Notamacropus eugenii: one gene and its partners. The main gene of each other region encodes a partner of the protein of the gene in region 3 in a complex. Links are inferred from orthologs where the notes say so. Each region holds a gene or a part of one and is shown on either strand. Other genes may lie near its edges. The genes, in order: CALR, CALR3 and CELF1.

Region 1 (3,747 bases), on a different chromosome or scaffold from region 3:
GGGGGGTTGGGGGAAAGGGGAATGGGAAAGGATGGATGGTCACTGGACAGGGATTAGCCATGAAGAATTCCCAAATGCAAGCAACCTACATCTGGCTTTGTGTCTGTGGGGTCATCAATCTTGGCTCGCTCATCCCAGTCCTCAGGCTTCTTGGCCTCAGGATCTTTGATTTTCTTCGGAGGCAGGAAGTCCCAGTCATCTTCCATCGAGCCTGATTCTACTTGAACATTGTCTATCTTCACTTCATATGTGTTGTCTGGCCGAACAATCAGGGTGTACAGGTGGGTGAACTCATCATCCTATGGGAGGACAACAGTTATGAAGGAACCAAGGTCTCACAGGTCTTGGACCCTTCCCTCTGCCTCACCATCTGTTAGGTAGTTTACCTTGCATCGAATGTCCTTATTGATCAGCATGTTCTTGCCTTTGTAGTTAAAGATAACATGAACCTTCTTGGTTCCTGGGCCGCATATGTCAGGGCCTGAAGAAGGAATGGGGAAACTGATCAAAGAATCCAGGACTCCTGTCTCCCAGTTCCCCAAAGCCACTATGAAGGGCAAGTGGGAAGGAAGGACCCTAGGGTCAAGTCACCTTCCTTCCTCAATCCTTAGTTTCCCACTGATGAGATGGTCAATCTCAGACTCTCATTTTAGGGACTCCCAGAACCACAGAAGGAAGGGACAACAGCCAGTCCTATGGACACTTACCAAACATGATGTTGTACTCTGAGTCTCCATGCATGCTAGCCTGGTCTAGGCTAGCAGGGAACAGCTTCACATAACCACCACCACAGTCAATGTTCTGCTCATGTTTCACAGTGAACTGCACCACCAGCGTCTGGCCCTTGTTGCTGAAGGGCTCCATGCGTGAGGACAGAGCATAGAAGCGGGCATCCTGGCTTGTCTGCAGCCCTACAGGCATGGTGAGAAAGTTGTCCCCAAGGTAAGTAAGGGGTATCCTGCCTCATCACTCACGGTTCTTCCCTACCAGCAGCCACTCACACTGAGTCTTCTGTCCCAGGTCCAATTCAATCCTGACCAACCCCCTTGCATGGATACAGCCTCAATGGAATCAGAGGAAATTTCAGAGTTGGTAGGGAGATTTAAACCTAACCCTTTCCCTCTTTATGGATGAGGAAATCGAGGCCTAAATGAAAAGTACTTCTCCAATATCACATCTCTGGCAGGAGGCAGCCCCTCACCTTTGTCCTTCTCTTCATCACCGTAGAACTTCCCGGACGAGAGCCTAAACTTGCCATAGTCACTCTTGTGCTTGGATTCCACCCAACGATCTTCCCAACCCTCTGAGGAGAGAAGGGGGTTAGTGTCCTCATGTTCCCCAACACTGGGGAAGTACAACATGTGAGAAGAGTCTGTGATCATCTTTCTATCCCTGTCCATCAAAACCTAGCTTTCCAAGGGACTCACTCATTCTAGGTACCAGCTGCTAAGGAAAGGCCCCTCCAGAAACCATCTCCAACTAAACAACACAGTCTCGGGCTACCAAAATGTTCGAGATGGAAAAGGACCTTTTAAAGGACACCCAATCTAAACCCTTTCGTTTTGTGAATGGGGAAATTGACCCTCTCCCAAAAAAGAAAAGGGTTTATACAAGGTCAGCAAAGCACGGAGGCAGGATTTAGGGCTGAAATGCCACCCGGGGGCCTTCTGGTCCAGCCTCTTCATTTTACAGTGAATGAAAGCAAAGACTCAGAAATTAAGTGATTTGCCTGGCACCTCGCTTTATGCATTCATAAGGGCATGTTTTAACTCTCCAGGAACCAACCCCGCCCCCTCACCTCCACCCCAGGTTTCCGGGGGCACTGACGATATCAGAAGCAAAGAGAGGGTGAAAGGTTCCAAGCTTCAGACCGGGCCCCGGGGGTCTCTGCCCAGTGGACCCTCTCTGCCCCTCATTTCCCCTCCCCCACCCCCAAGTATCAGGCTTAGAACAGGCTGGGGAAAGGGTCGAGGGAGAGGGCAAGCCCGTGGTCGGCTGCAGGAGGGACAAAGGTCCCGGGGACCCAATGTTGGACACCCTTGAGGCTAATGGAGGAAGAGGGGCCCCCGGGGAGGGCTGTAGCCACCACACCGGGGAGGCAGCGCTGTCCCAAGGGGAGCGGACTCCCGGCGGCCGTAGCGCCTCCCACGCCGCTAGGATGACAAGAGGGACCCGGGCACGACCCCCTCCCCTCCCCCCGGGACAGCAGCGGCTGGAGCGGGTGCGCGCGGCCCCTCCAACGTCCCCCCACCCCAGCAGGAGGCACTCTAGGCGGGCTAGGCGCTCGGGAGGGCCCGGGGAGCCCCGGACGGGGCGGGACCGCAGGCCCGGGCGCCCCTCGTTTACCTCCGTCGAGGAACTGCTCCTTGAAATAGACCACAGGCTCAGCGGCCTCCGCCAGGCCTAGCAGGCCCAGAAGCAGGAGAGGCAGCATGACGGGAAGGGTCAGGTAGGGGCGGCGGGGATCGGGTACGGACACAGAATCCGCAGACGACAGCACTACTCCGGCTCTGCAGTAGGGACAGCCGCCGCCGACCACCGACCGCCTTTATACCCGGCCCCCCTCAAACCAACACCGCCCAGCCCGTGTTCCCGCCCCCTCAGCATGTCCATTGGCTGCGGGACCCGCAAGGCCCCTCCCGATTGGCCCCGAGCCGGCGCAGCACTTTAGGCTGCACCTCGGAACGCTGGGTTCCCAGATGGCCGCTTTCTATTGGCCGTAGCCACGAGCCAATGAGGAACGACCACGCGTTGTGGGGGGGACGCCTACAGCACTTCCAGAAGGGGGAGGGAAGCAGGGACCCGGTTCGAATCACGTGATAAGCTGGCCAGACTCTTCCCACCCTTTCCCCCCAAATCTCCTGTCTGCAGTTTACTCCCCTTATTCACCGTTTCTTAAAGGTCGGGGCCTAAGAGAAGTGGATAACTCCCGACTCCCCCAACCCCAGGCCCCTCTCCGGAGCTTCCAGCAATCCTTCGGCTCAGGAAAGATGCCCTCCTTGTGCCAGGACCCCCCCTTTCCCCCGCCTCCCCCGTGGGGTCCCAGCCTCAGTCTTCAACCCCGCTGGCCAGCAGTACTTCCCCAGGGACCTTCCCTGTAGCAGCATCCACATGACCCTTGGGGTCCTATCTCAACCTCCCAAGCTGGAAGCACCGTCCCCAGCCCTGCTGCAAGCCCCAAAGGTTTCATCCACCCACAAGCGTAAACGGTGCCAGGTCAGATCCTGGGTGGACAAAGGGACAGAACCACCATAACTGACCACAAGGGTGCTGCTCAGAAGTATGAGGTCAAGCCCCACCTGGGTGACCTCGGTCCTGTCATTTGGCTTTCAGACTCAGGTTTAACTAGAATTTACACCAGGCTCTCAGTGTGAAGATTGATTCTTGGGAAGAGTCTGAGGAGTGATTGTCTAATGTGACTGTGGCAGGACAGGACAAAACTTAGTAGGGTGCATAGAATTTCAGACAGAGTCAGATGACCTCAGTTCAAATGGAAGGAATCTCATTTTTCGTATAAGGAAATATATACAGGAAGCAAAGCACTTGTTTCAAGACCACCACACAGAAAGTAACAAGGTGAAATTGAAACAAAAATTGTCTGGATTGGAAAATCCCTGACTCTATGACCATGCTAGTTCTATCCCAGGTGTACTTAGAGCCTTGTGACCTTGGGCAACTCCCTGTCCTCTTTGGAACTTAATTTCCTCATATGTAAAATGAAGGTTCGGATTAGCTGCTGTCACAGAC
Region 2 (3,747 bases), on a different chromosome or scaffold from region 3:
GCAACAAGGATGGCAAAGGGACTTCAATCCATGTCATGTGTGAGGAAAGGTTGAAGAAACTGGAGACGTTTAACCAGGAGGACACTCGGGGACATGACAGTTGTCTTCAAGTATCTGAAGGACAACTGCCATTTGGAAGAGGGATCGGATTTGTTCATTCCATCAAAGAAATTAGAAAAAATAGAACAAGGTCAAAGTTGCAGAGAAGTCAGTTTAGGAATTGCTGTCAAGAAATACTTCTTAAAAAATGAGAGTGTTGTCCTTCCTCCATATTGAAGATATTCAAGAAAAGGCTGGATGACCATCTGTTGGCTGGTGTAATGGGGTGAGGACTGTTCTGTGGTATTGGTTAGACTAGATGGCTTCTGAGGGCCCTTCCAACCCTGAATTTCTGTGATTCGTACCTGTATAGAAATGCCCCTTAAAATGGTTGCAACAAACATTTCAAGCCAGCCTTGGACCTACAGTGAAAGAACAAAGTACTTTTCTCATAAAATTCCTTTAAAGCGGATAATGCAAATATTCTTCTTATTTTACATATGGAAATACTGAGATGTGGATAGATGGAAGCAATCTTTGTCTCAGGTCAACTAGCCCCAAATATTGTGGAGCAAAATGCAAACAAAAGTCTCTTGACTCAGAATCCAACACTTTTGACCACATTGTATCTCAATTCTACTACATCCTAAGAAGCATATTTTACGATATTTATTGTTAAGAAGTTCCATCTTACATTAAGCCTAGACCTGTGTCTCTCAAACTTTCATCCATTTCTTCATAATTCTGTCCTTTTAAGGCCAAAGCTTTAACTTCCTCTTAAACATGACAGCCCTTCAAATACTCAAAAACAGCTATCAACCATGTTCCGGATGAGTCTTCTCTTCCCCAGGCTACACATGTCAATCAATACATATTTATTAAACAGGTAGGAAGTACCTGGCACTGTGCTGAAAGCTAGATATACAAAGAAAGACAAAAGATAATTCAATACCTTAAGATTTGAAAAGCCCTTTATAATACATTACCAGATGCTCACAACCACCCTATGAAGTGGGTGCCATCATCACCCCCATTTGACATAAGAAAACCGCGGCCAAAAGCTATGAAATGACTCGCCCAAGATCTCACAAGGTAATGAAGAGTCTGGGGCCACATTCGAATTCAGGTCTTCCTAACTCCCAGTCCTGTGCTCCACCCACCCTGGCACCAGTTCCTGCGACCAGGCATGCCACGGCCCCTTCAGAGCTCCGTTCGCTCTGCTGGCTGCCCGGCTCGGGGCGCTCGTCCACTTGTACACGGCCTTCTCGGACCCTGGCACCCAGACATTTACTACGACACCACCACGGCGGGGGCAGCGGTCATGACCAGCTCCCGGTCATTCATTCGTTCATCATTCCACAGGCATCGATTCCGTCCAAGGCCTCAGACACCAGCGCGCGGGGAGGCCGCGTCTTGCCGTGGACGCATCTCGAGCTGGCAGTCCACTAAGACCCCCGGGTCTCGTCTCTCTCACCCCACTCCCCACCCCAAGAGGCTAATCGAGGCTGGGGTCAGAGGTCAGCCTAGAACCCAGCGCCCGACCTCCTCTTCCTCCTCCTTCTGCCCCCCCCCGCCTCCCCGGAGCCCGAGACAACCCCCCCCCCACCCCCCCCCCCCCCGCTTCTCCCTCCCCACCCGCAGGCCCCCGGGCTTCTGGAGCTCCTCAACTTCCCTACGTCCGAACGTCAAATCTTCCCCCGCCGCCATCCCCACCCTAGGCCCCTCCCACCCCTCCCTCCTCGCGCTGCTCACCGACCTCTTCCTTGGGTTCGCCTCCTCGAAGGCCTCCGTACACCAATTCCCCCGGCCAAGGGCCGGAGGGCCCCGTATTCTTTAACGGTCTCTCTTGGCAACAGAATTGGACTTCCGGCCTCGCGCCGCGGGGGGGAGGGGGTCCGACGGGGAGAAACTACATTTCCCAGCATGCATCGCCCTATGGGCAGTTGGAGCGCCAGGGTTCAGCCGCTCAGCAAAGCACGATGGGAATCGAAGTTCGTTTCCTTTTCTGCCCCTGGACGCAGCGTGCAGCATCGGTGGAGCCAATCAGAGGGCGCGCCCGGACGGAGAGCGGGAAAAGAAAAACTACCTTCGAGCGGCCATGGGTCGGCCCGTGGCCGCTGGGCCTCTGTGGGCCTTGTGTCTGGTGCGGACGGCTCTGACCACTGTGTACTTCCAAGAAGAGTTCCTTGATGGAGGTGAAATGAGACGGGGACCTGGGCTCGGCGGGAGAGAAACCATCCCTTGGGTCACCGGGGCCATGGCCAACGGACGCAGCCAGGCCTGGAACCAGGACGGCCTGCCCCCCAATATATACCAGCCAGATGACCCTGGTTAAGATGCCGGAGCTCGCGCCTTTGAAGCTCAGAATCCTCCGGCCTTGTACCCCCAGCACATAGCTGTAAAAAAATGTGGCCAAGTGTCAAGACTGGGAGGGTTGCTGTCATGTGACCTTAGCAGCCCTCTAGGTCAAACCCCCCCCTACCTGAGGCCCAGAGAGGTCACGTGATTTAGGGTTGCTCTAAGTGCTGGATCCTCCCATCCCAGTGGAACGTTTCCTCCATCGCACCAGTGAGCCTGGTATCTTTGGAGGAATAGGTAGAAGTGGGAGAAAGGCAGATTTCCACTAGATATAAGGAAAACCTTCATACCAGCTAGAGCTGGAATGGGCTGCCTTCGGAGATAATGGGCTATCCTTCTAAAGAGATTTTTAAGCTGAAGCTGGGTCATCCTATTCAGGTACAATTTAAATAGGATAATGTTTAAAGACTGTTCTCTGATCTCAGAAAGGAAATGGGATCCCAGTCATGTCATCAAAGGTTTGCCTTCGAAAAATGAATCAGGGTTTGTCCCTGGAAATTTGTCGAAGAAATCACCCTTACAAGGTAGATTATGAGTCATAATCATTAAATCCTGAGAATACTTGACCCTTTCCACCTTTAAAAAGTCTTCTCAGCTGTAACCTTAATGCCTGACTTAGGATGTTTGTTCCTGATTTGCCTTACTCTTTCTTTTTCTTCTTAAACAGAAAGTTGGAGAAATAGATGGATACCTTCTGCCAATGACTCCAACTTTGGGCACTTTAGGCTATCATCAGGAAAATTTTATGGTGATATACAGAAAGATAAAGGTTAGTAGTAAGCCTTTGATTTAAAATTCCAACTCTTATTCTGACCATTTGGTGACTGGGTTCTGTCAACAGTGAGCTGACAAAGATGAGTTAGGAGATCACAAGATATTTGGAGCCTTGTCCACAATCTTTATTGTGGACTTCACAAGCACTTCCCATGTAACAAGAAATTGTGCTGGGGATACAAAGACATAAACAAAATTACCCCTGCCCCCAAGAAGTTTACCTTTAATCTCCTTCATTCTTTTTCTTCATCCATTGGTGGATAGTACAAGTCTATGCTATCCCCATCCAGTTAGTCACTTGCCCCCTTTTCCTGTTGCCAACTATGACAATCATGCTTGACTCCAACCTTGAATTACCCTCACAATCTGATGGAGCAAAGCTGGAGAAAATCACATGTTGCCTGGGTTTCCTATAAATTTATCTTGCATAATCTCAACTGGACCCTCACTCAGTAAGGCAATCTTTTATGTCTCCCTAATCCATTAACTAGGTTAGCTACGTGTCACAGTGGATAGAGTGCCAGACCTGGAATCCAGAAGACTCATCTTCCTGAGTTCAAATCTGGTGTCAGACTC
Region 3 (3,747 bases):
TCAGTGTATGTGATGGTGTACACTATATTACACGGAATCATAGTACACTGCACACGCTAAACATCCAAGGTCTGTGTTCTCAAACGGACAAAGTACTAACATTTCTGGGATACTGAATTAGAACAATGGAGTCTTGGGAGCTTTTCTTGATTTTCCATGACAGCACCATTTTTACCCCAAACTTAGCGCTCAGATAGACAAATAGAGAGCCAAGATGTCAACTGCATGAAGCTACAGGGAACATTCTTGACAACTTTGTCACGATATCTTTGGAGCTGCTTGTGAGCCTGCTTTTTGGGACTGAGCTCAGGAGCTCATCCTACTTGCTAAAACCACTCTAAGTCTTCCTGACAGAATGGATGATCTCTCTCTTCTCACCCCTGGGAGGATCTTCATATTGTGAAGAGCGTTCTGTGCTTCTAGTGCAGCTTTCCGGGTGTAAAATGTAACAAAACAGCACCCTGTAATCACAAACAAATGACAAATATTACTCTTGTGTAAGAAAGCAATTTTTAGAGAACTTGGCTTCCAGAGAGAAACACATACTGTGAGGACTCTTGCAAGGAGTACTGCTTTGCCAGTACATGCAAGATGGAGAAAAGAAAGAAATAATTCAAATAATTCATTCAGTAATGCACTGGGTGTAGAAATGTGCTTTACCCATAGCTGTCACACAGGAAGTATATGGGTAATGGGTGTATTCAGAAAGCTTCGTGGCCCTGCTCTCCTCACTGCCCAACTGGCACTCCCACAAAGAATGATTTCTCTGCCCTGTCCCCTCTGGATTTCCCTTAATCTCCTCCTGCTTTCTGCCCCTGCCTTTGGGCACATCCCACTGCAAGGAGGAGACTTTCCCCCCAAGACATGCCTGTTTCACCTAGTTCAGTCCCTCTGTTTCTTCAAGGCCCAGCTTTGGTACCACCTCCTAGCTTTCTCAAATTTCTCCAGCTAAAAATGATCCCTCTTCCTCTCAAACCACTCTCTGACTCTACATCCCAGCTCATACTAGTGTTCTTGTCTCATCACCCTTATTAGACTTCAGTTCCTTGAAGGTATGGCCTGTGTCCTTTCTATTTGGGGGTGGTGGCTGAGGCAGAATATGAATAACCATAATGAAATGTCCATGTTTTAAGGCATAAAGGACAAAACCACACAATTTAGAACTAGATGGGATCTCAGTAGCCATCTCGTCCAAATATTACCTGAAAGGAATTCCTACTGTGACACACTGGACAAATGGTCATTCAAACTCTATCTGAACACCTCTCAAGGTCACCCATTCCACTCTTGGGTAACTTCAATTATTGGCAAGGTTTTCAGGATATCAAACCTAAACTTTCTTCTCTAGGAACTCTACATATAGTTCATGCTATTATAAACACAGGGAATCTGAGGCCCACTGACTAGCCAGAACTCCACAAATAATAAATGATCAGGGACTGCCTTCAAGGACGGAGGAGTCTGCACTACGCCATGCTCCCTCACCGTGTATCTACAATGCCAAGCACTGTGCCCTTGCTTATTTATGAAATGTCTTCTGAAGTGAAAGGAGTATCAGACATCATCCTCATTCCTATCATCCCCAAGTACTTAGTCCTTAAGTGACTTTTTATTTTCTTCCAAGTCAAAAACTCTTAAGTACTTCCTTCATACCAGGTACTGAACCAAGTCAAGTTTAGCTAAAAGGGAAGCCTTCTTTCTTAAGTGAAAAAGCAACTGAGCAGAGAGAAAACATAAATCTAAGATCAACTGATCAACAGATCATCGTAGGATCACGTGCGACAGGAAGGAGACATGGAAAATTGAAGGTTTTCTCATCAGGGAGACAGAACCCAAGTGCTCACCTTTGCTCTGGGGAGGATTCTGGCTCCTATCCCTCAGGACGTTGATTTCGTAGACAGCACCGTACTGTTCAAAGAGTTCCCTCAGATCTTTCTCAGACCAGCTCCTAGGAACCTGACCCACAAACATCTTGATGGCATCGAGGTCAGGTTGGTCCGGGTGATCCAGTGTTCCATTCATTTTCTTTGAGCTGCACGGGATAAAAAGAAGCCTCTATCACAAGGTCCAGTCACACACAACTCGAAGGTTTTTCTTCTAAGCGACCACAGCACCACAGTGCCTCTTTACGAACTCCATCAAGTACATTCCAGCACCTTAGATGTACACTTACATACATCAGAAAACTGGAAGAACAGGGTATGTGGAGAGACACAAGGAACCAGGAAGGCTCCTCCTGCTTACACTGAGCACATCCCCAAGAGCTAAGTCAATCAGTCAAACAACAAGCATTTATTAATCACTACTATGGATGTGCCAGGCACAGGGCTAGAAGCCGGGCACACAAAGACCAAGACAAAAGACAAACACATACATGAACGAAGCAGTCCCTGCTCTCAAGGAGCTTACATCAAGAGGCAAAGGAGCTCTTGTCACTTGGACATGGAACAACGGAATAAACGTTGCCAAGAGGCCTGAAGCGCTACCCCCCTCATCCTCCGCTCCCCCCACAGGGAAAGGAAAGTCTACTTGATAAGCATGTTCTTTTCTTTTGGAGCCTCCGGGCAATCTGCTCCTTGGCTGTCCCTCCCACCATGGCTTCCCCTTCTGTCGGCTCCCGCAGTGAAGTCACCATTCTGTGTTGAGGACAGCATTGTCTGTTGCCACGGGAATGATAATGCTCTTCTTGAGCATGAGAATTTCATAGCAGAATCAGAGGCAACGCCTACTCCAAAGATGACCACTTCTAAACAAACTTCCAAAGTGTTTAATTAATGGAATGAAAAGACCATAAGAACAAGAGTAACTGACTTGCATAAAGGAAAACTTTTAAAGCTCTGGACCAAAGACAAGTTCTTAATTTCCTAGACCAAAGTTCAGAAGGCACAAGTAAAATATCGACAAAAGTGATTCATAATAATTCCAATAATCCTGAGTCCAAGGCTCACATAGCAAAGTTAGGTTTTGAAGGAAAAAAATGTAAAAATGATTATCATTGTAATTTAGGGCAAAAAGGGAACTCAGGTCACTTAGTTAAACCTCCTCATCTTCCACACTGGTAAACTCAAGGTGAAGACAATGACCAGGCTAGTCCAGTGCCACAGAGGAAGGGAGGGGCAGGGCTGGGACCAAATCCCACCAGATCCTTTGACTCCAACTTGCCACTAAAATCCAAGCACAGGCACTAGATGTAAACTTCAGACATTGTACTCTCTGAAATACAATGTTCCTTCTCTCCCATTACATTCGGCAGATGCATTCATTTTCCTGTCTCTCAGTTACCTTGAGACTCAGTATCCCCACTTGGTTTTGTCATGCTATTCAACCTAGCTCCATACTAATGAATGCCATTTCACCAAACTCAAACCCCACCAGGACTCTTGGAAATCCTCTTGAGAGAATTACAGGGCAACAACACTCATCACATTTTTACTCTTCTGTTTGCCTTTCCCCTTTATCAATCTTTCAGGCTGTTTTTCTTTTCATTTCCTTTATAGCCAATTAAATTCCAAATCACTTCTTCTACCAACTCCTCAAACTTGCCTAAGATTTTCACCAATCTGTGACAGTTTGCTCTCTCCCTCCATCTTTAACCATGCTCTATAATCCTTCTCACATTAAACAATTTTTTTTTTTTTGCTCTTCCAATCATCTCTCCTGTCTTGTTTCCTTTGAATTTCAAGATTCGTTACTTCTAACTGCCTTTTTTTCAGTCTAAGACTAACTAGGAAACATTGAGCACATTAA

Evidence for each region.
Region 1: CELF1 (region 3) and CALR share a complex: the UniProt entries of both Homo sapiens proteins name them as parts of the EIF2 complex. The link is inferred for Notamacropus eugenii from reciprocal best matches to the Homo sapiens genes CELF1 and CALR.
Region 2: CELF1 (region 3) and CALR3 share a complex: the UniProt entries of both Homo sapiens proteins name them as parts of the EIF2 complex. The link is inferred for Notamacropus eugenii from reciprocal best matches to the Homo sapiens genes CELF1 and CALR3.

Annotation. Positions count from the first base shown.
Region 1 is NC_092875.1:77,932,637-77,936,383, forward strand, and holds the start of CALR (calreticulin), read right to left. Parts: upstream 2,603-3,747; 5' UTR 2,435-2,602; coding exon 2,347-2,434; intron 1,304-2,346; coding exon 1,202-1,303; intron 912-1,201; coding exon 708-911; intron 482-707; coding exon 387-481; intron 300-386; coding exon 90-299; intron 1-89. UniProt on the Homo sapiens protein: Calcium-binding chaperone that promotes folding, oligomeric assembly and quality control in the endoplasmic reticulum (ER) via the calreticulin/calnexin cycle.
Region 2 is NC_092875.1:59,663,467-59,667,213, reverse strand, and holds the start of CALR3 (calreticulin-3), read left to right. Parts: upstream 1-1,225; coding exon 1,226-1,556; intron 1,557-1,791; coding exon of another isoform or gene 1,792-1,964; exon of another isoform or gene 1,965-2,010; intron 2,011-2,060; coding exon 2,061-2,234; intron 2,235-3,064; coding exon 3,065-3,166; intron 3,167-3,747. Other genes in the region: C4H19orf44 (uncharacterized protein C19orf44 homolog), read right to left, coding at 1,792-1,964. UniProt on the Homo sapiens protein: During spermatogenesis, may act as a lectin-independent chaperone for specific client proteins such as ADAM3. Required for sperm fertility. CALR3 capacity for calcium-binding may be absent or much lower than that of CALR.
Region 3 is NC_092877.1:3,521,304-3,525,050, reverse strand, and holds the start of CELF1 (CUGBP Elav-like family member 1), read right to left. Parts: upstream 2,721-3,747; 5' UTR 2,706-2,720; coding exon 2,530-2,705; exon of another isoform or gene 2,375-2,529; intron 2,033-2,374; coding exon 1,845-2,032; intron 462-1,844; coding exon 379-461; intron 1-378. UniProt on the Homo sapiens protein: RNA-binding protein implicated in the regulation of several post-transcriptional events. Involved in pre-mRNA alternative splicing, mRNA translation and stability.